Lytechinus pictus: one gene and its partners. The protein of the gene in region 4 purifies or fractionates together with the protein of the main gene of each other region. This does not show direct contact. Links are inferred from orthologs where the notes say so. Each region holds a gene or a part of one and is shown on either strand. Other genes may lie near its edges. The genes, in order: dnaJ homolog subfamily C member 8-like, U2 snRNP-associated SURP motif-containing protein-like, pleiotropic regulator 1-like and splicing factor 3A subunit 1-like.

Region 1 (6,862 bases), on a different chromosome or scaffold from region 4:
TATTCCTTGTTGTTGTTGTTTTTTATTAAAGGCCATGGATATCCAATTATAAAACACATGCCATTGGCGTAACCGGATTCAAAATATTGAGGGAGTAATACGTGGTGTATGTGACAAGGTTTCCTTAAAGTTCCCAAAGAGCGAAGAGAGCGAGAAAAATTCTTGACCTTTAAAACTGAAAACGTAATTTTGTGATAGAGTTTTACAAAAAGTTCCATCATGATATTTTGCCCTTTTGTGTTGTTGGGTCGTATAACTTTTTATGGGGGCATGACCCACCAAGCCCCCCCCCCCCCCCCTCTTCCTCATTTGTACACTAGTGACAAATTAGCAAACCACTGTTTGCATAGAGTTGAAGTTCCCCTACAAAGCTTTTTTTTATCTTTGGCATGCATGTCTGATGTCTGGGGTACATCGATGATGATCATGATAGGAATGGTGTGGACATGAAACACCTGTGTTACCCGATGTCTTCTGCGGTTATTATTGTATGTGGCAATAGCTATATCGGAAAGCAATCGGATTAAATGATTGGCTATATTCTATTTTTATTATTTTACAGGATGAATAATAACCTATCGTCCACCCTGAATGGAAAAGTATTTAGTTGGGTCAAAGCTTCGAACATGTCAAAGAATACGCAAATATTTCATTGCCGCAATCTAAGGGGTTTACGTTGCATTGAAGTAAACATGGTCAAACAGCGCCATTATAACTGCATGGAAATTTGAAATATTGGACATAACTTGAAAAGTATGACGTATATGAATAATTTAATAGAGTTATTTTCATATCCTTTCAAATCCTTTCGGAGTGACCTCAGAGATAAACGCTTTCGGAGCCAGAGCAGACTGATTTACTGACATTGTTCTCTGAGCGAAAGGGAAAGAATGAAAACGAATTTTACTGTGTTTCACAAAACGTTTCCATTCTTACAAGGAAAGTTTGCTTGCAAAGACAATCTCTTTTTCCTCATACCATATTTTTCTTTCTTTTAAAGAATTTTGTTTTGATGAGAGCAATTCTTCGATCACGTCGATTAAAGCTTTAAACTACAAACGGTTTTTTTTTCACAATAATAATTTATAAAAAAATAAAAACAAAACGAACCTGCACCTCAACTAAACTTTGAGCTGAAATAATGCGTCAGGGGAAGGATCAATGTATTTTTAGTGAATTCCGCGCGGCGATTGACGTAGTGATATATACCGCAAAATGGTCATGTGTATTTGAGGTTTATTAGTTCAGAATTAAGCTCGCTACCATGTTGACAATTATGGGTTTAATAGTAAGATAATCAAATTCTACAGAATGAAGGGAAAACGACCCCACCCCCTCACCGCCAACAAATTACAGGAGTGAAAGTTTTGCTTTTAATTTCACAAAACAATCATGTGGCACATCCTGCTCGGTATGCAAATGAAGGGAATGATGTCATCACCTTTGTATATTTTAATTTTCTCCTCATTGGCATGAGAAAAAAAAAGTTTTATTTCTACCTGAACATGCGGAATTGCCATTGTTTAACGTCATCAAATTTCATAATTTTGTTTTAATAAATAATTATTATTTGGGGGAACCACGCTAGGGTTTATTTCCAGTTCGTCTAATGCCAACTCGTGTAATATTATTTGGTCTACCATCAGTTCGTCCACTCACCACATGGTCTACTTTCATTTACTCTAATGCCATTCCGTCTACTCCAAGTTGGTCCAATAACCATTTAACCATCATTTAACCATCTAATTGGACTAAGTGTTAAATTGCGCAAAATGAATCAAAATTAAATGGATAGTAGACGTAGACCAAATGTTTAGGAGACGAAATGGTGATTAGACGAATTCTTGATTGGACCAAATGTTTAATGGACCAAATGGTTGTTAGACGAAATTTTGATGGACAGAATGGCATTAGACTAAATGAAAGTAGGCCATGTGGTGAGAGGCAGTAGACGAATTGGCCGTTTCATTACCTCCACAAGCATGGATCCTTTCATTTCCATGCACATTTGATATTATTTTGCACAAGCTTTTGTTATTATAAATTTTAGCTATTTTACAATATTTACAATTCATTTTTAGTTGATTTTTGTTTAACACATTTGATTTGTATATCTATATTCTGATGTATGATGGAAATAAAATAACTTTCTTGATTGTCGAATCTCGAAGCTCAAAGAGTCAAGTTGGTCCTTAATCTGTAAAACTTGAAATTTATACTTCAAACAATGAGTATTTTTTTTGTTCTTATTTTTTTTTGGGGGGAGTGGTGTTAATTGTTCATGGTCGATTTGATACTGTAATTAATTGTCGCTCTGGAAATGCTCTCTTATGTCAGTTATTAATGGGCTGGGTGCATAAATTGCCATCATTGATTCTTTCGTTCGACATCGATACGGTCACGTGTGGGTCATTATCTAATGAACCAATTTCTTGCCAACCCCAACCATGGATGTACGACTAGACCTGATGTGACCGTTTTGCTGTGTCATTCCACCACATCAATGTCCATATAGACTGAAAATAATTGTATGGTGCAGTTTATATCCCTATTACTTGTATTACGCAATAGATTCCAACATATATTTGTTAAGCCATGTCTTCATGAGGTTTCTATTATTTTCCTGCGATGATTTTCGATAATAAAATGTCTAGACCTTTTGTACAGATGATAAAATGTACCATACCATTATTGAAAGACATGAGTTATATTAATCAGGAAAAGGGTACTTTAATAATAAATATTGATTCATTCAATCTTTCTACCCCTCTTCCCCGCCCCCTCTCTCCTCTCTCTCTCTCTCTCTCCCACGTTGCGACGAAATTTCTGATACTGGGAGATTAATTGCTTATTTGTATTTTCGAAAACAAATATTATTCATGCTCTCGGCCAGTGGCGTAATTATCTAAAAAGATGTTAGGGGGCTAGAAATTGTCTATCATGTAAAATTTATTTAAACAAAAAAATTGCGAGCGAGCAAACGATTTAGACACTTTTGTTACAAAAGTCCAATTTGTTACTAGATTCAGAAAATGATATATTTCAACCTTCTTTATCCTTTCCTTGCCCTTTTTTTCAATTTCTGTTTTTTTTTTGTTCGTGAAAGGAAGCCAAGCCCCCGCCAGTGCTCTTGGCCCCAACCACAAGCATTGGCTTTAAAAGTTTTCACAATCCTTTCTACTGCATTGTATTTTGTTATATTAAAGTTATATAGTCATATTTCAGTGGTAAATGAATAGGCGAAATTTGAATTAAAACAGAAAGTGATTTTTTATTCAAACTGAACTCGAAAAGGGCGTGTAATGAATGGGATTATAAGACCACAACGAGGGCTATCGATTGGTACATGTCGGTGTAAAAATTAAAGAAATAGACATTTTTGTCATAATCGAGGCTAAATTTATTGCATACATGTAAATCAAGGCTTTAATTTCATTTAAAAAAAAACGGAGCACTTTTCCCTCCCCTTCGCACATATGCAGTGGCGTATGCAGCGGGTGGTTACAGGTGTTCAACCCCCCCCCCCCCCCCCTAAAAAATGTCAATTTTTTTTGTTTTTTTTGTTGGTTAATTATCACTCACAACTGGGCGTTGTGGCGTGCGCCTGTAATCCAAGCTATGCGGGGAAGTTACAAATTGATGCAGAGGTTCGAGGTTCGAGCCCTGGTCACGTCTTTCGGATGGTGACGTTAAAGGTCGGTCCCAGACGTAAATAATCATATCTGATTGATACACGTCTGACAAAACTCAAATACACACACACACACATACTTCTATCAAAAATTCTTTCAAAAATTCTGCGTACGGGTACGCCACGTGCACTGTGCCTCTGTTCGCCCCCCCCCCCCAAAAAAAAAATGCAATGGATGAAGTATTAAAGAGGAACTGAAGTACCGTGTATATAAATGTGAAACATATAATAACACCTCATTAAAAGACAGCTAAATGATGAAGAACTAAGACTTAATAATTAAGAGATCGAGAAAACAGGATAAGGAGGAGCTGAGATTGTAGCTGAGCTTGAGCTAGATCTAGATGAGAAGAAACTTGAAAAATGGCTTCCTCCTCATCTGCGACGACGGCCTCGGGCTCGGGGCAACCCGAAGCAGCTTTCTCAAATTTTATGACTGAGGTAACTATTTTCTACCATGAAATTAATTTTAATCTTTAAGTGTTCTTATTTGTGAAAGAAAAAATAAAATCCTGTCCAGGAAATGCGCGTATTTAAGGTATAAACTATGTTGACTTCGGTCGTTATTCTTCTGTGTTGTCCCACGTATTGACTTTTGTGAGGTGCGATGAATGGAACTTTGTGACTGACTTTGGCTTTGCATTTGTGGCTGTTTTATGTTGTTCCGTGTTCGCTCACTAACTAACAGAAATACATGTACCTTACATCTGATATCCTTGGTCTATTTATACTATAGTACTTATAGGCCTAAGTTATGAAATTAGTCACCTCCCTGCCGGCTGCCTGTGTGTTTGCACTCATTTTTTATTCATTAGTACAAACAAAGTCAAAACAATGTGAGTGGAATTGGAAAGAAGTCGCCAGCAGCGCTCGCTGCCACTGACGAAATAAACGGCAGTGAATGGACTGGTGACTAAACCAGGATAATGCCCTATAGTATATAGGGGTAACCCACTCTAGGCGACACCCCAATACTTACCCGTGCTAATAAACTGGGACTCCACTCACGCGCGTTTGGGCCTCCCTAGCTTAGAACTAAGCACTAATATCACCTTAAAAACTAAATCTACAAGGTATGTATAATCTATTTACAACTTTAATAATGTTTAATCGGTACTCACCGGTTCTTTTGTTGCATTTTCAGACCATTTCTCACAATTCTTCGTAAATATTTGCGGCAAATTTTGTCGCCATAGACAGCTTAGCATCCATCTTTATTGATAAATGGAGCGCCCTTTACGATAGTTGTTAATGCCGCGGAGAAATCGTTAGGCATTTTGGCCTGTGTTCAAGGCGTTCTTTCTGTTTTATTTTTTATATTGAAGATTGTGCATTTGTTGAATAGCGCCGTCTACGTCAGGTATGAGATCGAGTGTATAAATACACTCTTCCAAAATAATTATGATTCCGACCTGGCGCTGTTTAACTTCAATCTCTTTCACCTAAATTAGCGATGAATGCTAGCATTATAAAATATATATTATTAACGTCTGACGAAAAGAATAACCAACCGATCAGCTGACGAGAACGCGAATCACGTGATCTTCATATCAGCTTCGATCGCGAGTCAGAAGAGAAGAGCAACTGCCCAGAAAATCAGGAAAAAGCCGTGAAAATGTAAGTTCCCCTTCATTTCTTTCATTTTTTGTTGTTGCTAACGATGCATTTACACTATAAAATTATAATTTAAATAAGAGAAAGGAATATAGCTTGTACTTGTGATATAATGTATAAATATCCTGTTCTCAGAGATTTCTAACCAAAAATACTACTGATGTCGCCTATGAGGTCCATACATGTAATGTTGGACCTCATTGGTACTAGGAGTGGGGTAACCTACGATATGACCTCTTACTTTTTAAGCAATCTAATAACATGAATAAGTAAGTAGCTAATATTTTTTGTTCTAAAAATAAATATTAAAATCTAACGTTAGACACCTATCTTGGGGCACTCTAGGCGACACCCCAATACTTACCCGTGCTAATAAACCGGGACTCCACTCACGCGCATTTGGGCCGCCCTAGCTTAGAACTAAGCAATATTATCTAGAAATTGTTAAATTGTAGTCATGAAATATGTTCTATTAAATAAATTGATAATGTTTAATCGGTACTCACCGGTTCTTTTGTTGCATTTTCAGACCATTTCTCACAATTCTTCGTAACTATTTGCGGCAAATTTTGTCGCCATAGACAGCTATACATCCATCTTTATTAATAAATGGAGCGCCCTTTACGATAGTTGTTAATGCCGCGGAGAAATCGTTAGGCATTTTGGCATGTGTTCAAGGCGTTCTTTCTGTTTTATTTTTTATATTGAAGATTGTGCATTTGTTGAATAGCGCCGTCTACGTCAGGTATGAGATCGAGTGTATAAATACACTCTTCCAAAATAATTATGATTCCGACCTGGCGCTGTTTAACTTCAATCTCTTTCACCTAAATTAGCGATGAATGCTAGCATTATAAAATATATATTATTAACGTCTGACGAAAAGAATAACCAACCGATCAGCTGACGAGAACGCGAATCACGTGATCTTCATATCAGCTTCGATCGCGAGTCAGAAGAGAAGAGCAGCTGCCCAGAAAATCAGGAAAAAGCCATGAAAATGTAAGTTCCCCTTCATTTCTTTCATTTTTTGTTGTTGCTAACGATGCATTTACACTATAAAATTATAATTTAAATAAGAGAAAGGAATATAGCTTGTACTTGTGATATAATGTATAAATATCCTGTTCTCAGAGATTTCTAACCAAAAATACTACTGATGTCGCCTATGAGGTCCATACATGTAATGTTGGACCTCATTGGTACTAGGAGTGGGGTAACCTACGATATGACCTCTTACTTTTTAAGCAATCTAATAACATGAATAAGTAAGTAGCTAATATTTTTTGTTCTAAAAATAAATATTAAAATCTAACGTTAGACACCTATCTTGGGGCACTCTAGGCGACACCCCAATACTTACCCGTGCTAATAAACCGGGACTCCACTCACGCGCATTTGGGCCGCCCTAGCTTAGAACTAAGCAATATTATCTAGAAATTGTTAAATTGTAGTCATGAAATATGTTCTATTAAATAAATTGATAATGTTTAATCGGTACTCACCGGTTCTTTTGTTGCATTTTCAGACCATTTCTCACAATTCTTCGTAACTATT
Region 2 (7,771 bases), on a different chromosome or scaffold from region 4:
CGGAATACGACAAAATCGTACTATTTGGCAGCTCTGTTGCTGGCTTAGCCTAGAGGACTCCGTGATGCAAAATGATTTTAAAAATATCACGGAATCCAATGCTGGCTCCCACATATTTTTTTCTCTCTCTCTCACTTGTTATGTTTTCCATTTTGTTTATTTTGTATACTGTGCATGTATCCTTAGTTTTAATTTCAATTGTATGTTGTATGTTTTAATGAGAATTTAAAATAAATGAAATGAAAATATATGCAAATCTCATTATCATGCACCTTTTCCTTTTTTTTATAACAAGTACGTAGCAAGGAGGCGGTGGGATGATCTTCCCCACCCTAACTCCCCCCCCCAAAAAAAAAGAGAAGAGAAACGGTGATAGCGAAGGGGTAAACAATGGCGAAAAAGAAAGCTTTGCGGGATTTTCTTTCTCATTCTCTCTAAAATTTTACTTCCGCGCATGTTTGCGAGAAAATCCTTGTTTTTCTCCTTTGTTTACCTTTTCTTTATTACCCCGTTTTTTCATCTCGGCTATATTGCTAGTTTGTTTTGTGGCGGCATCAAGTTTTAAAGAATAATATTTGGGAACGGAATTAGTATTAAGATTATAGGTCAAAGTATATGAAGTCATATTTTATTCAAAATGATCACCAACGTTCCCGATCCTTATAGGTCAGGGTGGTAAACTCTATAATGATAATGCCGTATACCCACAAAGGCTACTTCTTCCGTTTTTCAGCTCTTTACTAGTCGGTCATAATTTATTTGGGGACCACGGACGGCCTGTTCCTCATTTAAAAGGGGGAGTTATAAAAATTGTGCCGTATATATAAAAAAAGACAGTACAATATTACTATAGAATTATATGGAAGTTTATGTCATCAATCTCCTGTCGTCTACTTTGCGCCATTAATTAAGTTCCTAATCATTCAAATACACTGTTAAAATAAATTTAAAATCGCTGTCTACGATGTGAATCACACAGTAATTGTTTAAACAGTTTAAACAAGTATTTAAAATCTTAAAACACACATTTTAAATTTAAATATTTAATTATCAATAATTAAATTCAAATATTAAATTATCAATGATTTAAACATGATTGTTTAAATTTTAAACACTTGTTTAAAATGTTTAAACAACTACTATGCAATTCTCACAGTAAACAGCGTTGTTAAAAATATTTTTGACAGTGTAGAAGTGCTCCATATAAATGAGTTCAATCAGGGGCGGATCCATGATTTTCCAAAAGGGGGGCACAGGGCCAATGAAAAATTTGACAAGCAAAAAAAAATTTTTTTCAACCAAAAATTGAGGATATTTCGTCCCCGAAAAAAAGGGGGGGGCAGGTGAGGGGTTGATTATGCTACTGCCATGCGGTGAATTAAACAACAAATGGTGATTGGTGATTATCAAAGCGGCAGATTTTTTTTTTAAATTATAAATATATATTAACATCTTGACTTAGCATTTCTTTTTAAAGCAGGCAAAATTGTTTTTAAGTATTTCCTTTTGTTTTAAAACCATATTCAATCCTTCCTCATTGTTATAACATGTGAAAAAGATAAATAACATGAAATCATTTACGTTATTGAATCAGAATTCATATTTAAGAAAATCATGAATTGGTTATTCTAAATGTAAAATTAGAATCCATTTGTAAATATTTGTTGGATTTTTTATAATCACAAAGGGAATAATAATAATAATACAGACTAAAAAAATTCGGATCTAGAAATCTCTGAATATATTAAAACACAAGCACACTATTGATAAATATTTTTTTCATTTTTAGTATCATTAAATCAAAATAATTTGAGGAAGTTATATGAAATAAAACACACACCAAGCGAACATTCACGCTTTACCCCCCCCCCCCTTCCCATAAACAAAGCATAAAAAAGAATGAAAAGGAGAAAGAAAGAATGAAAAGGAGAAAGAAAGAATATAACAAATGACAACAAAAACTTATCATAAAAACACAAAATGTAACAAAATAAAAATATATATGAAATAAATATTTTTTTTCATAAATATAGATCTATTTTTTTCCAAAAAAAAAAAAAATGAAAAATGGTATTGAATTATATGCCTAAATCACGATTTAATTGAATAGAGACGACTTGCCGAAAGTTTTCACTCTTACATGCATATTCATTAAACTGTGCTGTAAAGGCATGCAGTGACGACATCTTATAAATATTCATATGCGCATGCGCAGAATTTTACCTCAAACATGGCGATCTCGCGATTGGAACAAAAGTCCGAAAATTGATGCTCTTTTGAAGGATTTCATGGAATTGTATTCATTATTCTTATTTCAAAGGTAAGCTGATTTAGGAACAGTTTGCTTAGGTAAGATTGATATTACTCGTTAGATTTTTAATTCATTATGATCATCGGTTTTCTAATGCCAAACATCGCGAAGTTTTGTACTCCGGTGATAACGAGTGGTTGCATTCAGGACCTCGACACTGTCTAAATAGACGTGTCGAGGTCCCCGGGGCAACCACTGGTACTGCTGGCATCTTTCATTTCAGACAAATACACTAACTTAGTTTCAGTCACTCTCTTTCAGTCGTATAACTCACATTTTACACTCAGGCAGCTAGCAGACATGCATGTGCATGTGCAATGAATCGACACGCTCACACCTAACTTAGCCTGGGCCTGCATGCACTGTATGCAGTGACACACGTCAGTCTCACTCACTCACTCCATCACGGCGCGGCACCAGTCATGCCAGTTCACAGTTGCGTTGAGTGACATGACTGCGTGCTTGGTTGCAATATTTCCTTTCGGACAAGGTGTCAAGAAATATAATCTTTATTCAACACTCGTAAAAAACATTCAAAGACTCAGAAACACCATCAATATTACAATAAGTTTACAATAACTGATGATAAAATATAATAAGCTCGTCTCACCTTCGCCGTTCCAGGAGCGAGGCCCGCCATGATGAATAACCTTCGACCAGAAACGCACGCGTCTACATATCGCACGCGCGCACGGCCGGCCGGCCGGGTACGTACGGGCGCGGCGCGAGCTCGTCGCCAGATCTGCACATTGGATAATGGATACTGCATGCATTTATCAAAACTATGTCTCCTAAATACAATACATGGTTGGCCCTAGATCGAGTGATCCTTTTAGGGATGCACCATTAGATATATCCAGGGGGCTGCAAGTTTTTCAAAAAAAAAAATTGACTTGCTATAATGAGCAAAAAGGAAAAAAAATGACTCACCATCCGGCTCACCATGCAGATATAGAGTAAAAAAAAAAAAAAAAAAAATTGGTCCACTGACAAATCACTGATCCGAGAGGACCGGAAAGGGGCAATTAAAAAAACTTGTTTCGATGGACTAAGGAAAAAAAAATTTACACAAAGAAGAAAGGAAAAAAAATTGCATCAATTAAGTAACCCAAACTTCCAGCCTATCTAATGGTGCGTCCATATGGCCCATATGGCAATTAAGCCCATGCAAACAGTGGTGGATCAGCGTCAAACTGAAATATATATGTATGTATGTATATATATATATATATATATATATATATATATTATAATAATATATATAAGAATATATATATATATATATATTATAAGAATATATATAAATTATATATATATATATATATTCGGTAGATATTCCACGTGTTGGAGTAATATTAAGAGAAACAAGGTTGAAACTTTCATGCTTTAATCCAACAAAATCTATTGAAGTCCACAAATTTTCGATAAAGACGGTTTGTATACTCGTCGAAAATTTGTGGACTTCAATAAATTTTGTTGGATTAAAGGAGAATGAAACTCTTGGAGCAAGTTAGCTTTTGTGAAAGCAGAAAAATCAAAGAATAAGATCAACAAAAGTTTGAGTAAAATAAGACAAGCAATAGAAGAGTTGTGAGCATTTGAATGTCGAGATCACTAATGCTATGGAGATCCTCCCATTGGCAATGCGACCAATATCTATGATGTCACAGATGAACAACTCTCCCCTTTTGGACACTGAAAATATACCCCCAAACATCTCTTTTTGCTCATTCTAATCATATGACAAACGATTCATCAATGATATAATGTTGTGAAACCTCTGTACTCAGGGGCGGATCCAGCTTTCGCCAATAGGGGGGGGCCGAAAAATATTTTCATCAACATTTTTCTCGATTGGCCGCTATATAATCAGATTTTTTGTTGGTTTATCAGGGGGTAGTCCTAACTAAAGACTGAAGTTTTAAGTATATGTTAGTTTTTATTGTTATAAACAAGTTAAGGTATCTCATGTGGTCTTAATATATAATGCGATCGCGAAGCGCGAGCTCAAATTCTTTGATATTTTATGTCCTTAGACCTGAAGATTCTGAGAAGATTTTATAATCATGAAAAAGATAAGTATCCAACTAAACAATGCGAACGCGAAGCGCGAGTCGAAATGTTATTATAGTAACGTGAAAAGAGGATTCAATTAGGACTGTTTTTTAGTGATAAATGAAGAGGATTACAAGTATCACCAATTAAATAATGAGAGTGCGAAGCGCGAGCTAAATTTTTTTGATATTCCGACCTGAAAACTGGACAGTCTAAGCGCGTTTTTATTTTAATAAAGAACAAAGCTGTGTGTCTCAAACAATTAAATGCGAGCGCGAAGCACGAGCTTAATTTTTTGATATACTGACATGATAAAGGAGCATTTTGACAAATTTTGGTAAGAATTTTTCAAAGAGGATAGGTAACTCACAAATCAAACAATGCGAGCGCGCAGCGCGAGCTGAAAATTGTGATATATACTAACAATTTGTGTAAATCAAACAAAATAATGAAAGCTTGATGTGCGAGCTAAAATATTGTGTGCAAATTGATTTCAGAACTGGATATATAAGTGCCATTTAATTCTCTTGAATGGGATTCATTACACAGGCAATGCGAGCGCGAAGCGCGAGCGAAATCTTTTATATAAAGTCTATTTTCCAATTCTTCCCTCACCTTTTTCTTGTTTCCTTTCGGGGTCGGGCCGGCCGTTACGAGGCTGTAAATTACACATCATGGGTATGCTACCTCTTTCTTACTTTTCTTTCTGTTTTTCATAATTTCTATCAAGTTAAAGAGTACACTTTTTTCTGCAGGTTGTCAAAAAATAGGGGGGCCGGGGCCGGCTCGGCCCCCTCCTGGATCCGCGCCTGGTACTTGTCATCTCATAAAGAGAACACCTCACCTTGTGATAGACTCTATAAAAGTGAGAATATAAGTGAAATAAGTACTAAAGTAATGAGGGAGTTGTACGTGTGTGACATCACAGATCTTGGTCGAATTGCCAATGAGAGGATCTACATGGCATTAGTGATCTCAATATTCAAATGCTCATAACTTTCTTATTATTCATTCAATCTTCCTCAAACTTTCAACAATATGTTTCTTTGATTTTTCTCTTTGATATGGATTCAGCTGGTTTCAAGGGTTTCATTCTCCTTTAAAGCATGAAAGTTTCAACCTTGTTTCTCTCTCTCTCTCTCTATATATATATATGAAAAACGTGATTCAGTAGTGAATCAGTACAGAAAAAAGAAGATTTTGCAGAAAGCAGTAAAACAATCATTCTGCAAATTCATTAAACAAGAATTTTTTCTGCAATTTAACAGAACAGGTCTGTTTTAAAAGGAGAAAATGCTGTTTTATTCAAGGAAATTTGTAAGGTTCCATACACCAAATACCAATTTCCTGTAAGTTTACATGATATAATGTAAGATTGCGCAACCTGGTAAGATTGCAGGTATATATATATATATATATATATATATACATATATATTAGTTTTATTGAAAAAAATAAAAAACACATTCACAAAGTTTACGGTTTGATAAAAAAAAATCACTATCAAAAGAAGATAAAAAACAAAAAACATACACATGTATCCAAAGAATGTTAAGCTCCGAGATAGAATTAGACCGACATACGAGAAAAAAAAACCCAAAACATCAAGTTCAAGTTCAAGTTCAAGTTTCAACTCAATGATAGCCTACAACATCACATATAGGAAATAATTACACAGATATAAAATGAAGACCATACAAACCGATACAAATGGATACATGTATATCCATTGCAAGCAATATGACTGTACAAGAAAAGTAAATAAGTGTTTATGGTAAACACTAAATAACGTAATAATCATAAAACCAATAACAATAGGGGGCCTATATACAGTGACAATAGAACAAAATGTAGAACATTCTCGATAAACAATTTGCAATAACAATAACAAATGCACAATCAGATGCCCATCCTGTTCATGATTACCAAAAGTGATTTAGAAAGTCAAAATTTAAGGTCAGAATATCACAAATTTTCATCTCGCTCTTCGCGTTCGCATCAGTTGTTTAGTAAGGTGACGATCGATCCTGTTCATGGATAGATATAAGTGCTTAGAATTTCCAACTTTGGGTCAAAATATCAAAAAATTTCAGCATGCACTTTTGCGCTCGCATAAAATGTTTTGTTAGCTATATATACTCATTCTGTTCATGATTACCAAAAATGTTTACTCGAATGTCCAAATATTATGTCAGAATATCAATTTTTCAGCTCGCGCTCGCGCTTTGCGCTCGCACAATAATAGACACCCATCCTGTTCATGGTTTACAAAATGTGCTTAGAATATCCAGTTTTGGGTCAGAAACTCAGAATATCAAATATTTATATAGATACCCAACCTCTTCGTTGTTACAAAAAGTGCTTAGAATGTCCAGTTTGGGTCGGAAATACAAAAATTGTCAGCTCGCGCATTGCGCTTGCATAAAATTTTGAGATATATACCCAAATGTTCTTGATCACCAAAAGTGCTTACAGACTTTCCAAATTTGAGGTCAGAATTAAAAAAAAAATTTTCATCTCCCGTTTCGCACCAGCATCAATTTATTGTTTATACCCATCACGTTCACGGTTACAAAAAGTGCTTAATATCCGATCGGGGGTCCGTTGAAGAAAGAGTTGCGTTTCAACGCAAGTCAAAAAATCAACCGCAAGTCCAAAATGCGCGCTGTTGATTGGTCGAAAATCAAGTTGCGCATGATTTTTAGAGTTGCGATTGATTGCAACTCTTTCTGCAACGGGCCCCAGGGGAAAACATACAGATGAAAACATTTTTCCACCTACCCCCTCAAGTTAGCGAAAGTTGGATCCGCCCCTTATAAAGAAATGTTAGCTCCCGCTCACATAATTTTAGTAGGGCCTACATTCTGATGAGAAGTTAAAATCCCCAAATGCTTAAAATTCTATGCTTTCAGGGGGCAGTTTCACAAAGCTGATAGTAAGTTAAGAGCGGCTTTAAGAACGACTGGGGATCCTTTCTTTTTAGAGCGTAAGAAGGGTTTACCAGTCACTCTAGACTTACGAATAGCTTTATGAATCCCCACCTGGTCACATTTATTCTTTTAAAAAAGTGATGACTTTTTTTCATGAACACATTAAAAAAGGTGGTCTTCGATTGCCTTTTTTTACACGTGATTGTTACATAAGATAATTTAACATACATTTAAGGCATATGTATATATATACATAAATATACATATATATATATATATATATATATATATATATATATATATATATATATATATATATATATAAATGTGTAAATGTGTATATATATATATATATATATATATATATATATATATATAAATGTGATCAATCTTGGCGATGTACGTGTACGGGTCTCCTTCATAATTATATTTGAGATCAATTGTATGGAGAGGGCCGTAGCAAGGTCAATACCCG
Region 3 (7,610 bases), on a different chromosome or scaffold from region 4:
AATATATGGAAAATATATGAGATTAGGAAATTAATTAAAGAGCATATTTATTTTGTCATGATGTTCAAGATAAAAATCATTTAAAAAAGAAATGCAACTACAAGGTACATCAGTAGTCATGTTGAAAAATGTATTTTTAAAGCCGTCAATGGTATGGTATGTAAAACTGTAAGGCTATAACTTGTTTTGAAGCAATAAAACTTTGTTTTGAAGGATTTTTTCGGGCAAGTGAAATATATATTCGGGCAAGTATTTTCCAACTATTTGAAAATTTACTTGCCTGACTGGGCAAGTGCTTCAAAAAAGTTGTGTAGCACCCTGCCAATAGTAATCTTGAATTATGTTAAGAATTGAGCATTCAAAGAATTTAGACTCAGTTATAAAATTACAGAGGAGCTGAATCAAGGTTGTGAAATTATTAGCGGGCTTCCTTGTATTTTCGTAGAAGAGACAAACGAAGTCACTTGCTAGGCCGAGGTAAGCGAAATTTGCTCTTTTTATAATGAAATTATTTCAAACTCATATGTATAATTTTGTTATGTTTTGCTACTTACCGGAAAGAGCCCCGGTGCGTAGCGAGAAGGAGTTTCGGCAAATATTACTTCAGCAATGAAGCGATGTTTGCCGACTACTTCGAAATCCAGGGTCAAACACGGTCCCTTATACGAGGTTAGTATATATACTAACCTCGTATTAGTGTGAGTGGTTTGTGCCCAACTTTGGGCTCTGATTTCATGAATGGAAAATATGTCAGACGTAATCGAAAGCGCATGCGCATTGTGCTTCTTTTCTCGGAGCTCGGAGACGTCCAGAGATGGAATAAAAAATAAAAATAATGCCAGTATAATACTATTAATTCTTCCATATGAAAATAACATACTTTGTTGACATCGTCAATATTTTTAGTATGGCCATAAAATCTTATTAAATTGTAATTATTTAACATCCAATAATAATTTATATGAATTTAGAGCTCGATCCGAGACATTCGTATTTATTTCGATCACAAGCTCGTGTAAAAAAAAAATGGATTATCATTATCAGGATTAAGTCTCGAACATCGTCAGAACTCATATTCCACAATCTTTCCTCACAATCGTTATATCAGCATTGAATACCAATTCAAATGACCATCCAGAGAAAATTACGTATTTATTTCCATCAATTTATTTGGAGCTAATTTTGGATCCAACTACCCCGCCAACTACACAATCTCAGGCAAGTTACAGCGCTCTCCCCGCTGTTTGCACTTGTTAGATGGCGCTGGCAAGCACGCCTGTCGTTTCGGGAGAGTGAGTGAACGGGGCTGCGGACGGGGCTGGTGTGTGCGAGTCTGGACTGCGAATGCTAGTTGACCGAAAATCATTCGGATCGACTCTGCGTGATTCAATTCTTTAATATTGTTTCATTTTAAACCTATATGTTATCATCTGCAAATATCATTGTTGAAGATATTTTGGGAAGAATTCTGCATTGCTACCCGGCCTTTTTTGTGTTTTTTGATCATGGAAAATACAAACGAACTTTGCTCTGTCATCTGCTTTTGCAACGCTCACCCAGCCAGTGTAGACCGTCAGTGCATGTAGTGCATGCATAGCGCTGCATCGACGGCCGGCCGGAGCAAAAACAATGACTCGATTTTCCCCACCTTCAAATTTCGATTCATCGATGATCGATCTAATTAAAGATGTCGAACACCGGTTTTCAAAATAATCGATATGACTCGGGCTTAAAAGAAAGTGAAAGACGGACATGACAGACAGCAACTTAGTTTTAGTCGGTTAGTCGAGGGCGACTGGTCCAAAAACACGGGCCATGCCTAACGTAAGACCAAAAAGCTTCAGTCTCTGTATTTTGGTTGTTCCGCTGAACTGCGACTTGTCTGCGTTGGCTCCACTCACCAATACATAGACTGAAGAGTTGTTGGCCCGTACGTACAGCCGACGTATTAGCAGTAACGTTAGATCTAACTTTCTGCAGAAACCCAATTTTCGGATCGTATTTTTGTACATAAAATGTCACATAAAAAAGAAAGTACATTCGAACTTACTAAAAAATATAAAATTAAGAAATATCGTACCTCAGACCGCAGTTACCGCTAATTCCTTTCAAATGATGATTGAAACATAGTCATCTTCGATCCTTTCTTTGGTCAACGTAAGTTGCCATCTTGGATGACGTCATCATCCTTACAGACGTATTTACCAGTCGCTATATATCGCGATTTGTGCCGCTGCTTTGCGCTTGTAGATGTGCGTGCGTTCGGAACTTGTCGCTCGCATTGATTGGCCAGGATATCGAAAATTTAATCGGAAAGCCTTGATAAAAGCGCAACACACGGCTGCCATTTTTCCTCTCCGGCGGAAAATTAAAAAAATAAGGAATAAATCATCGGTAACGTATATTTTTGATATTTTCTTAGAACTTATATAGTATCAAAAGAAAGATTAGAGTCTAACGAAAAAATAGTGGGCCTTCGTTCTAGATAATATAATGTCATTTAGAATAAAAAAAAAAATTAAAATCTGGTCAAAACCCGGTCGCCCGAATTGCTGACCTGATTACACATGCAGGCTCGCACTAACCAAGGCTCCACATTAACTTTTTTTGTTGTGTCCCGTTCGGGCCACCAAAACCTTCAAAATTTTTTTTTTTGTGGTCCGATATTAAACTTTTGTGGCCCGAAAAAGAAAAAGAAAAACATGAATTAAAAATGAATAAAACAAACTTCTGAAATATTAATTCTGCAGCCAGTACCACTAAGTTACTTTCACTTAATACATCTTGTATGTAAATCTTGTTTGCTGTTATTTTACTTTGCTAATTGATTTGTGTTAATATATAAATTGTTCTATTATTGTAAATATGAAATGATTGAAAGAGAATAAAAGAATTGTATTGTTCCCAGGTTGTGTGGACTTTTAAAAATCTCTGTATAGACACACACTCATAATAGTAAGTAAATAAATAGTGCATAGCAAACTCAGATAGATGTACAAAACAATGATTTTTCCCTTCTTCTTTTTTTAATCCTAAAACCTATATGTAGATTATGCAGGCCCCAAATCCAGTTTATTTTCTCTTTTCCAGCATATCATAGCAGGAGAAAATCACAGAAAAATATGCTGCAAAATTAGATTAATGCATAAAACGGGGAAACAAACAAAAATAATTTTTAGAATAGTATATTAAAAAAAGAAAACAAAAATAATAAAATAAATAAGTGAAATAAAACGAAAGAAAGGAAATGGAGAAAGAAAAAAACAAAGAACAGGGAAAAAAAAGAAAAGAAAAAATTTAGAGAAAAATAAGACAACGGCAAAAGTTATATCTGGAAAAAACAGTGTGAGAAAAAAATCCTTCCCTATATTTGCCAAAATGCTGGAAAAATTCACATTTCATATCAATGAAATGCCTTCCCAAAGTATTAACTTCCTCAAGAGTGGTTTAAGAAGTCATTTATAAACAAGAAAGAAAGAAACTGTCTGTTTATTTTTAGCTAGAAAAGACACAGCTTCGAAAGAAACCAAGTATCAACATACATACAAATGCACATGTGGGACTGTGATGTGTATTAATGCATTTGGAAATTGGTCTTTTTGAGTCAAAAGAGAGGTCATAATTCTTCTTTTTAATGCTTGCAAATAAACAGGTTACACCAGATTTTAGTAATGTGGACTGTAGAAGGGCATTTCATTGGTGTAAAATGTGACTTTGACGTAGATTTTCAAAGTTCTGTGGAAGATTTCTTAGCAGCAACATTTCGTATCGCAGCTCCCTAAGTCTGAATAGTCTGCTAGCGCACAGCTAGCTTCAGTAGTTTCATGCATGCAAAGCTCACGCCAGACGGCCAGCACAGCTGGATAAAAGTTACTGTATGCTATAGCGGTAGGCCTACATACTGTCATGACTATGCAATCTTTGTGTGTGTGTAGATTAACAAAAAGGGCGCATGACGAATTGGCTTGCAATTTGAACTGTAGGAAGTTGATAAATGCATGCAAAATCGGGAGAAAAATTGCGCTGAAAATTATTGGTTGCTCTATTCGGGCCACCAAAACTTAACATTTTTTCAATAATGGTTGCCCGAGGTGAATTTCTGGTGGCCCCGGGCCACCGCTAATGTCGAGCCTTGCTAACACACTACCGTCGGTGAATAGGGATTATAGTGAAATGTCAGAAATTGTTAAATAATTCCCCAGAAACGACGGTTGTATAGAAACGACGGTTGTATGTAAACGACGGTTGTATGTACAAGACAATCAACAGACTGAGCTCACACTGCATGAGCATATTTTGCATCAAAAGTCATAAATTCAAAATGAAAAAGGATCTATTCTTAGGTGTCGTATAAATCAAATAATGGACGTTCTTTTCAATCATGCAATGGACAAAATACTTCATTCAGGGAAAAATGTAATGAATAAGATTAATGGATCATTCATCTTTGAAGTACTTTGTCCATTGCACTCAAAAACATAATTATTTGTGTAGTAGATAATTTTCAATACCTGGTATTTATCATGATGAAATCTGATTAGTAGTCAAAGGCTGAATTTGCATGAATTCAGGGTAAAATGTCAATGTTTTATTTAACTTACAGGTCAGTAAACAGTCCGTCCATACCCTGGTGTTTCGATCACTCAAGAGGTCACATGAAATGTTCATAGCTGATAATGCCCATCCTCCTAACAGGGATCCTCATGCGTAAGTATCAAACATCATTTTTTATTAGTACATCTTTGGTATGGGCATATTGTTTTTGACACTTTCATATGTTATGATAAACCTTTTATCTCCTAGTGGGCCATATTTCTCATGAATTCTGTAATCTGATTGGTCAATTTGTTTGTGAGACAAACCTATATTGAACAAGCTGTTGTTGTTTTAATGTTGTTCTCATTGTTACGCGCATTCCCAGTGATGATTTCAACCCCGTAATATGAGACAGTATTACATGTGTATTCAAGCATCGCGCTGCGCACTACTATTTGCTACTATCAATTTCAATAGCATAATGTGCATTATTTTTACTGTGATCATTGTGATGTCATGGATGACTTCCTTTCAAAAATCACTCTCAAAATGCAGGGTTTGCATTGATTTTTAGTTCTATTCTATTGATTTCCCCTATTCCAAAATAATATAAGGATACACTTAAAGAGATAAAATCGTTACACCTTGCTTGTATCTACGTGCATGTTCTGGTTACATAATATGTGTACAATCAGGGTGTAACTACATGTAATAGTATCTTTAATTTTGAACAAAATCACTATTTGTTTTTAAAGGATGGAATAATTTTTTCAATAGTAAACCAAGTTGTATTTGATGGAATTAGAAGTACACGTCATAAACTAATGCCGGAAGTTTTTAGGTGAAAAGGATCATCAACCATAAAAAAAACATCCTCAGCTTTATAATATCTTGTCAATATTGATCAACAATAACCCACACAAGTACTTGATTGAATGCAGAAGACATTCAGTGAGAGCTTTAGACATGCAACCGTTCCCTTTTTAGAGTGTTTGTTCCTCTTTTTTGCTATGAATACGCAAATACTTTTCTTTAAATTTCCGATCATGGAGTATAGATTACACACAGCACGCGACACTAACGCCGGTCCGACCGTCCCAGACCGGTAAAAATCACTGTCAGGCCAGTAACTTGTTACATGAAAAGAACAAGTAAATTCTTGCCTACGAGCACATGTTAAAATGGTGAATTATCAAGTTTTCAAGTAGAGTCATTTCACATATTTTTTTTTACTGATCTCACTACAACAGGCTGGCAATTGTTACGTTGAGACAAATCTTTAAAGATACTCTTTTTCCTTCTAAGAATACTTTTTTTTGTAGAAGGTTGGCAGGTCTGAGAATAAGGAGAAATTTTACCAATTGGAATAGTTGGAATTTACTCAATCATGAGATGTTTTTCATAAAGTTTTGTAATCAAATGGCTTGTTTCTGCAGAGAACCATTCAACGGTATTACCCACGTAAGTATCCATTATCAATCCAGAATTCTGGAAAAACTTCCCTGTAGAAACAGACGCGATGCAGTTTATTGATAAACTGCATCTCATAAACACCTCCCAGAGGTGATTCTGAGAAACCGTATTTTGCACGATGCGGTTTATTGATAAACCACATCGCGCAAATCACCGTTTCTCATAACCGTGTTTATCCGTTTATTTGCAACGCGGAATGTGAGTTAATTGGATTATTCGCTCTGTAGAAACAGGATAGTTTAAGGGCGATACAGTTATTCGATTCCGGAATAAGAACCTTTCTTAATGATTCTCTGTAGAAACACGCCGACATTTTTTTGTCACTTTCCGTGCCAAATATTTCCATATATACATGTATATCCTTTACTTTGTGTGTGCTAACAGAGATACGGTTAAGGTTGCCTGCAAAGTTAGAGATCAGTATGGGATGGTACAGAATCTTACAGCTAACACAGAACACCAGAGAATAGCTGAACTATCACACAGAGAAATAAGAGAAGGGAGCCAGGAGTATGAACAAGGTAACCCGATGACTTGATTGTATAATAATTTAGGCATTATGAACATTAATGTTTGATTGGTTGGTTGGTCGGTTGGTCGGTCGGTCGAACGGAATATATCAGATATAAGTTTACAAGGTAATATATGTAAACATGTAATATATATAATAAATTTATAATATAGTTACATTATAAGCATCGGTTCAATAATATCAAACAAAATGACAGTTTTAAAAGAATGCAGGAGACTGCCATCGTGAGCAATAAGGCTTGATAATGATGGCGACCTCGTAAAAATCATACCAATAAAGAAGAATTGGCTGAAATTATAGAAGTCGCTCAATTACACTATATGATTAAGGTCTGAGTAGTTTCATTTCAAAAATCCTACTGTAGACGGGTCAATATATGGTTTGACCCGGAACAAATTGCAACAAATGATTTTTCAACGGTATTTTGTACTATCTGACCTTAGAAATAACATACTAAAAATCTACCAAAATCCGCATCCGGGAAAGTGGTTATTTTTAAGATGGCGTCCAAGATGGCCGCCATTCACTAAAAATGGATATAACTCAATCATTATCCACCCTAGAATCCTATTTGGGTTCATATTCCATGGTCCAATTGGTAAAATAATTTATTTATACAAGTTAGAGTGAATATTAGCACTCCAGGGTACCAGGAAAATCCAAGATGGCGCCCAAAATGGCTGCTGTAGGCTGAAAATCCACAATTCATCTAAATTTGTTTTTTATTCAATGGTTTTAAGGATTAAATAGTACATTGAAACAAGTTACAAGGACAGCCAGTGGTCTGGTGTGTCCAAAAATCCAAGATGGCTTCCAAAAATGGAGTTTAAAATGGATGTTGATAATTAAAATGGACATAGTTCATTTCATATCCACCTGAGAGATATGATTTTGGTGTCTAGACCATGGTTTCAATGGTCAAATAAGACATTGGGACAAAGTACAAGGACAGTCAGTGGTCCGGTTTGTTCAAAAATCCAAGATGGCTTTCAAAAATGGAGTAAAAAATGCTGTTGCTACTTAAAAGAAAAACCAACATAGTTTGTTCAATATCCGGGAATATGTTTTT
Region 4 (7,513 bases):
TATAACATTATAATATCACCATGATCATGATAATTAGTCAATATGTTTTTTTTAATATGTCGTCATATTTCGCCTTGCCTCTCATATATCCCATGTGCCGCCAATGATTAGTCTGCAGGCACAGACCCTCATTGAAACCTTGATCAACAAGTGGGTTTCCACGCAAAGACTAACACATACAAAACTTGCTGTTGAGAGAGGGCCTTCAGTACACAAAAGGCATCAGTAGGCTGCACATTCAGACCCTTAACTCGAGTCAAGGGTTTGCACAGCAGACTAGCAAATGAATTAAATAGAGTAATTGAGATATTGAAAACTCACCTTCTTACTCCGATAGTCTACAAACAAAGCAATGTGAATTGCGTGAGGTATCCCTATCTATCAGCTAGCTGCATTCGACGAACTGCAGTTGTCTACGCATCCGATCCCTTTCGCATACTAAAAGGCAGGAAAGTGCATTACGCATTTATGTACCAGTGTAAAATCAAACGTTAATGCTGCACGTGATTAGAATTAAATCCATATGGATTAATACATCTCTCACTTGTATTAATCGTGGTTAGACGTCTGTCAACACTTTTAGTCTCGAAGATTATCTCTGCCTTTTTTCGTGGAAATTTCAGGATTGTGTAATCAGAGGAAGGCGAATGACCTGTACTTTTCATTTTTGTGCATATATAGACTATTTGTAAATAAAGGTTTATTCCACCCCAGTAAATGTTGATTTGAATCAAAAGAGAAAAATCAAACTAGCATAAATCTGAAAATTTCAAATCAGAATGTAAAATAAGAAAAATATGCAATTTTAAAGTTTTGCTTATTTTTTTTACAAAACATAACTCAGTATGTATGATATGCAAATGTAAGAGTCGATGATGCCTCTCACTCTTTCTTTTTTTTTTTTAGTTTGAAGTAAGGATTTTTATTTATTTTTACAATAATGACCAACTTGACTGAACCACAAAATAATTAAACAATGACAATTCCATATGGCATGTGTTCAGGAATACCTTGTTTGAATTTATTTTGGTTTTATTTCATTAATTTCTATATCCATTTTTTGTTTGAACATACAAATAACAAAAACATAAATACAAAATACAATTCCACTGGTGGATCCAGGGGGGGGGGGCACATCTGGTCCATGCCTTCCCCCTTGAGAGGCATAATAAACATTTACAATGTAAATTTGCCGTTCTAACACAAATGTGCCCCCCCCTTGAAAACGAGGACCATTTTTTTCTTGCTTGTCAAATTTTCCGTGGACGAAAATGACCTTAAATTTGGGTGAAAACATTTTTTAAAATTCATATTTCATACAATATAATACAAAATAAGTGGAGAGTAGGTGATGCCATCAGTCCCCCACAATAGGAGCACGGCGTAAATATAACTGTTTTTTAATTAAGTGATTGTAAAGCATTTCGTAACTTTCTTATTTCACATCCGATTTTGATGAACTTTGATGCTTGTGTCATTTTACACTTTTTATTCAACCCAACTGCCTCTTGGATTGGACTTGCCCTTTAGATATTCTAATTCGCTCTATTTTAAAAGGTGGCATGTAGACAAAACGTACTTAATGAATAGAAGCCTGCAATGATTGGGTGTAATTGCATGTGCGGTGGTTGATGAATTTCGATTGGAAGGGGGACAGAGTTTGCCAACCATATTTTTTTCCAATCGAAGAAATAAACAAATTATTAAAAAGAGAATGAAAATAGGGAAAGGATAAAAAAAATTGGGGCGAAAAAAAGAAAAGAAAATGGAATTTGTTTTGGCTTGGTCTTGTAAATATCTCTATATTAAAGGAGCCCCTTTAATAAAAGGGAAGTTTTGAAGAATTTAAGGGGCAAGCCCCCCCCCCCCATCCCGCCCTGTTTATAATAATGGCCCGATGCCAAGCTTCTCATTATCACGTGATTACGATGACCATGATAGTAACAAAGACAGGAAATTAACTAATTAAAATTATAATTAGCAATTAAGTTTGCGGTAGAAAACTTGAGCCATTTCGATTTTGAAATAAATCACAATTGAGAGAGATAGCCGGTTTTAAACACCTCTATCTTGCACTTTTTAAAGTCTATTTTTAAGCCCCCCCCCCTACCGATCCGACATTGGGTCTGCAATATATTCGTTTTAAATAAAATGTTTTTTTTAAGATACACTATTTCAAATGTTTCATATATTTCGTATATTAAGGGAAATTGTGAACGCCCCCCATAAAAAGGGGCGGATGAAGTAAGCGGGTGTTTATGGGAGATTTACCCCTCCCCCGAAAAAAAAACTCCGCAATGATTAAAATTGTATCAAATTATATAAGATGAGAATCATAAATGCATAAAAGTGTGGAATTTTGGTTCATCGCACAATTCAGGTGATTGTATCAATATTATATAAACATTTAATGTTATTGATGAACACGCTACAATTAAGATGGTGAGAAAAAAATATCTTAGCATGCTCCTGATTCTCAGGGGAGCGTCTGATGAAATGACCTGTCAGACGTTTAATCCGACAGTTACCATGGTAGCAGTGCTTCACAGCCAATCAAAATCAAGGAACTTTGTCAGATCTGACAACGCGTTAAAGCAAAATATTTATGAAATTATCCCCATTCATCATAAATTTCCAAATGCAACACGATTTAGTGGAATAATTAAGAGTAAAGTGTTGGAAGAATAATGGGAAATAATAATAATCGTGAGATTTCCGTTATACATTGAACGTACTTAAGACAACATGATTATACCAGGGGCGAATCCAGGAATTTCCAGGGGGGGCATTGTATACAGAAAAAAACTAAGCCTCAAGAAAGCTAGGCTTCACTCCAAATTAATGGTGATGATGAATGAAATATTTGACAAGCAAACAAAATAAATAAATAAAGGGGGGGGGGGGTCCTCACTTGCGTATGCACAACATATCCCCTTACAAAGATTTGTTATGGCTCTCAAGGGGGGGGGGGGCGTTGTGCCCCTTCCTGTAACCGCCATGGACTCGTACATTCACAAGTACGACACCAACTAGAAACCAATCGATAGTAGGTCATTGGTAATAGCGTTTTACATTTGGTTAATTTGGAGTTGATTTTGCCTCGATCTATGTCAGGGGCCGCGGAACGGTTTTCAAAGTGGGGGGGGGGGGGGGGCTGAGCCAAAAGTGGGGGGCTGACCATGCTAAAAATCACAATCATATGGTAATTTTTACGTTTTTGTACACGGTTTTGAAAAAAAGTGGGGGGCTGAAGCCCCCCCCCCCCAGCCCCCCCGGTTCCGCGGCCCCTGTATGTGACTGTGAAAAAAGGGTGATCGACGCACTTTTTTGGGTTCAAGGGCTGTTGAAAATATAACCTCTGTTGTGCGATTATCCTTATAATTAATTCATTCTCATCAAGTAAATTCATTGTGCGAACTGGTAGATTTACAGCAAGGTTCTGCCGTGGATATACTTTATACATGGAAAATGTTGATTATATGGGGCGTCGATACGGGGGGGGGGGGGGGCGGAGTCAGTGCTGGGTAGTGGGTACCCCCTGAGAAAAGTGATATGTGAAAAGTGAATGTGTTCTCTTTCTTCCCCCTGTGCACCATAGTAATGACACCAAAACCCAGCTCCACACATTTATTTTATATTTCATTCGCAACCTTCACACAACCCGCCAAAAACTCCTCAGCAACTTCACCAGCTCTAACAACTCTTAGGAAGTGTTTACATTTTTCAACTGTTACCAGCGATCTCCGACCTTAAAGGGGAAGTTCACCCTGACAAAAAGTTTATTGTAAAAATAGCAGAACAAATAGTAAAAAATATTGCCGAAGGTTTGAGAAAAATTCATCAAATAATTAAAAAGTTATTAGAATTTCAATTATTTGATTTGTGACGTCATATGCGAGCAGCATTCCTACATAGCGAATGGTAAAAAATCAATGAAATGTCATTTTCTCAGAAAATTGAAAATGGTTTTCACTGTACCTTTTGTATATCAATAGACAAATCATTTCACACCCGATCATGAATAGAAAACAAAATTAAGTCATCAGGAACCATGCAAAATTTGAAATTCATGCATTTTATATTACATAACACATGGGGCAGCTGCTCGTTTATGACGTCACAAATCCAAAACTTTGAACTCTAATAACTTTCTTACTCTTTAACGCATTTTCCTCAAACCTTCACCAATAATTTTTATTATTTTTTCTGCTATTTTTACAACAAAGTTTTTTTCAGGGTGAACGGAGGAAGGATACAAGAGAGATAGTGCACAAAGTTGAAATAATGAATTAAGAAAAAAAAGGGGGAAAAAATAAGAAGTCTAGGTCATGGAACTATCAACTCTCAATCAAGAGGAAAAATGACGAAAGGAGCTGCGGACAAGGGGGGGGGGGGGCGGCGAACAATTTTTTTTGATATTGTGTTTTTTATGCAGTTTCAGCAGCAACTCCAGTCTCACAAAATTCGAAATAATTTATGTAAAATTATAAAAATCCTCTGTCGAATATTCCTGTTTGGACTATAGAGGGCTAGGGCTTTATACAAAACGAGAATTGCACGCACAACGATTCTGTTGGAAATAAGTGAACACTCTTTACTTGTTTTTCACTTGTGTAGACCTTCCGTAAGTATTCATTGCTTGATTATATTAGAAGAAAATACTTGTGAACGTTCTTCGAATTAATTCAATGTGAGAGAGAGTTTTAAGAGTGCTTGACTGCTTTTGTGTACGGCTGTACCCTTTGGCTTTGCTTTTAATGATAATATCCCGCCTGCGCAGTGTTCCTTTCGACCGGCTTCGGTCCGACGTGTTGAAATTTATGTCATGTGAAATTAACTATATAATCTAGGAGTTAGGACAAGAGTCCGACTCAAGGCAGCTAATCAATGCTATTGTTCGATGTTATTATGGATTTATCCTTGTTGCCTTGCCCTTTATTGTGATGCAGTTAAAGTAATCAGTGTCTGAAGCCAAACTGGAAAATTTCTGTCATTAAAAACGGGCTGATTTACTCAGAAAAAAAATGGCACTCTTTTTTTTTTTACGGGAAGTTTTTTCATTTTAATTTCAGCCCAAGTCGAGGTTAGCACAGCCAGGACTCAGGCTCCTGAATATTTTGCCAAGTTGTTATATATCACTTCATTTGCAAGTCTTTACATCAAAGTAATACAAAGTCAATTATAATATAGGCCTACATTTTTTAGTTTAATGGGAAATGCAGGGCAATAAAATTCACTATACAGAAGAAAAAAAGTCATAAAGTTGCTCCAAAATATATGTTTTCTTTTGGGTTTTGAGCCCAATTTTAAACAGGTAGGACAACGGAAAAAAACGAAACACCATTACTACTAAAAAACTTTACCTTAATATATTCTTTATTAGCATGATTGTCAAAGACATTGCTCAAAGCTTACGTCAAAATTTCCTAAATAGTGAAAAATAAGGCTTAAATACTCCATAAAATGCGCCTGGAAATGCATGTAAGTTAGCATTTGGCCCATCCCCTTAGGCTATACTGTGTGGGTTAGTGGCTGAAAATAAGCATTTTAAAGTCTTTATGCTGACCTGGCTCTGTTTGAGCCTCTGGGGAGCTGTGGAAACATGTCACATTGATAGATAATCAACTTGGCTGCCAGAAAATATGAAGATGTCGCTACATGTAACTACATTGTTCACTCAAAATATAGAATGAAAATTTGAGGCCAATTCACCTATTGATATTTCGGACACATGTCTACAGCACCAATCAGGGGCCCATTTCATAAAGGACTTGCAACTGTTGTAACTTTGCCATAATGGCAACTACAATGGTAACAGGGCTCAGCAGCCAATCATAATCAAGGTTACCACGGTAATTGCCATAATGGCAAAGTTGCACCAGTTGCAAGTCCTTTATGAAACGGGCCCCTGGTGCCATTGTCTACCCTTTAATTTATAGTCTAAAATAAATGGGCTACAATACCATTTGGACCCTGTTGGCACTAAAGAGTCATATTTTTAAATAATATTAAACATAAAAAACTTGAAAATGTTAAAAGTAGAGGAGCGTTTACCTGTACTAACAGTCTGTTATTGTCGCCACCTTGCCTAGCCGTCTTTGTTATCGTAGCCTAACTACATGATGCGTATAGACAGTGACAATATCATGACATGAGCAGTGCTAACTTAGATAAAAAAGATACTTGCATCGGCCGATAAATATCATGAATACTACCTTAAATGTTAAAGATCCAGACCGGACCCGAAAATGAAATTGATAAATTATATACCAATCGAAAGCTTATAAGCTACTAAATACACCAAGGTATGCTTTATGCATTTTCACCGCTTCCCAGCTGAGTATTTTGCTTAAGAATATTCCAATTATCGGGTTTCGAACCCCGCTTAGAAAATAGGCTTTATTGTGCTTTTCACCTGCCTCGAGACCGTGACGTCACGTTGTGTAAGAAGCGTCGTGATTCCATAGGTTTGTACACAGAAAAACTGGGTGATTTTTTTGCTTTCCAGATAACGCATTTCATTCTCTTCACTTCTATCACAGAGGGATATCACATATATTTTTACCCACAAGCTTGAATTTATGAAATCTGCAGTTTTGAACTAGTTTTTGCCATATTTTATTTCCTGCTTATTTGGCGCAGATTTCAATTCTATCTGCATTTAGATTATGTATAACAACTTTTCCTGACAATTTAGGCCCAATAAGAGCCAAACAAAGAAATCACAAAAAAGGTAGTGAATAGTTGTAGGTTTACAACAATTTGAACAGTGAATAATTTTGAGTGCCATTTTCATCTGAAAACGAAAAAAAAAATGGATTCATAACATGGAAATGGAAGAAAATACCCAATGCTTTTGTACACAAACCTATGGAATCACAACCCTCCTGACACAACGTGACGTCATCATTTCCAGGCGACGTGGGGGTGCTCAATCGAAGCGTACTTTGGAGGAGCAGTTTCTTTGATTTTTATTTAATATTTTTAACTATTGGAAGGAGATATATGTAATATTTTGGGTATATTCGTATTGTATGAATCATATCCCAATCAACTTTTGAGTCTTACCTGAAGACTTTTCTGTTCCCCACTCCAACATTATTGCAAGAATAACTCAATTGTAGCATTACTAGGACAGTACTTGAACTGAATGATGATCCTAAGCACTGTTTGAAGACATTGAAATTTGTGAGATATTTCCTATTTTTGAGCAAGCGCCATGAGCGCCCAGCTGAGGCGGATACCGGCGCTATACAAGAACCCATCATCACCCATCATCATTACCTTTATTTTGATATATGATTGTTTTTACACCGGTCAGGGTCTTTAAGGGAAGATTCATGATATTTATTGGCCGATGCAAGTATTTATGTGCTCGCCTTTGAGACACTCTTGTTCACTGTTGCTTGAGGCACCCTACTTAAAAAAAAACATACCATCAGAAAGAGCATCAAATTTCCTATAAGACACTTTATGGACAATTTTTTTTAATCAAGATGAATTTGTAGACCTA

Evidence for each region.
Region 1: the proteins of splicing factor 3A subunit 1-like (region 4) and dnaJ homolog subfamily C member 8-like purify together in Homo sapiens (affinity purification with mass spectrometry; 4 studies listed by BioGRID and IntAct, with this or other methods). This does not show direct contact. The link is inferred for Lytechinus pictus from reciprocal best matches to the Homo sapiens genes SF3A1 and DNAJC8.
Region 2: the proteins of splicing factor 3A subunit 1-like (region 4) and U2 snRNP-associated SURP motif-containing protein-like purify together in Homo sapiens (affinity purification with mass spectrometry; 4 studies listed by BioGRID and IntAct, with this or other methods). This does not show direct contact. The link is inferred for Lytechinus pictus from reciprocal best matches to the Homo sapiens genes SF3A1 and U2SURP.
Region 3: the proteins of splicing factor 3A subunit 1-like (region 4) and pleiotropic regulator 1-like fractionate together in Homo sapiens (co-fractionation; 3 studies listed by BioGRID and IntAct, with this or other methods). This does not show direct contact. The link is inferred for Lytechinus pictus from reciprocal best matches to the Homo sapiens genes SF3A1 and PLRG1.

What each region holds. Positions count from the first base shown.
Region 1 is NC_087248.1:8,325,612-8,332,473, forward strand, and holds the start of dnaJ homolog subfamily C member 8-like, read left to right. Parts: upstream 1-3,845; 5' UTR 3,846-4,054; coding exon 4,055-4,132; intron 4,133-6,862. UniProt on the Homo sapiens protein: Suppresses polyglutamine (polyQ) aggregation of ATXN3 in neuronal cells.
Region 2 is NC_087260.1:6,519,629-6,527,399, forward strand, and holds the start of U2 snRNP-associated SURP motif-containing protein-like, read right to left. Parts: upstream 3,001-7,771; 5' UTR 2,952-3,000; coding exon 2,922-2,951; intron 1-2,921.
Region 3 is NC_087249.1:42,998,912-43,006,521, forward strand, and holds the start of pleiotropic regulator 1-like, read left to right. Parts: upstream 1-4,601; 5' UTR 4,602-4,660; coding exon 4,661-4,707; intron 4,708-6,393; coding exon 6,394-6,530; intron 6,531-7,610. UniProt on the Homo sapiens protein: Involved in pre-mRNA splicing as component of the spliceosome. Component of the PRP19-CDC5L complex that forms an integral part of the spliceosome and is required for activating pre-mRNA splicing.
Region 4 is NC_087250.1:20,509,165-20,516,677, forward strand, and holds the start of splicing factor 3A subunit 1-like, read left to right. Parts: upstream 1-4,510; 5' UTR 4,511-4,624; intron 4,625-7,513. UniProt on the Homo sapiens protein: Component of the 17S U2 SnRNP complex of the spliceosome, a large ribonucleoprotein complex that removes introns from transcribed pre-mRNAs.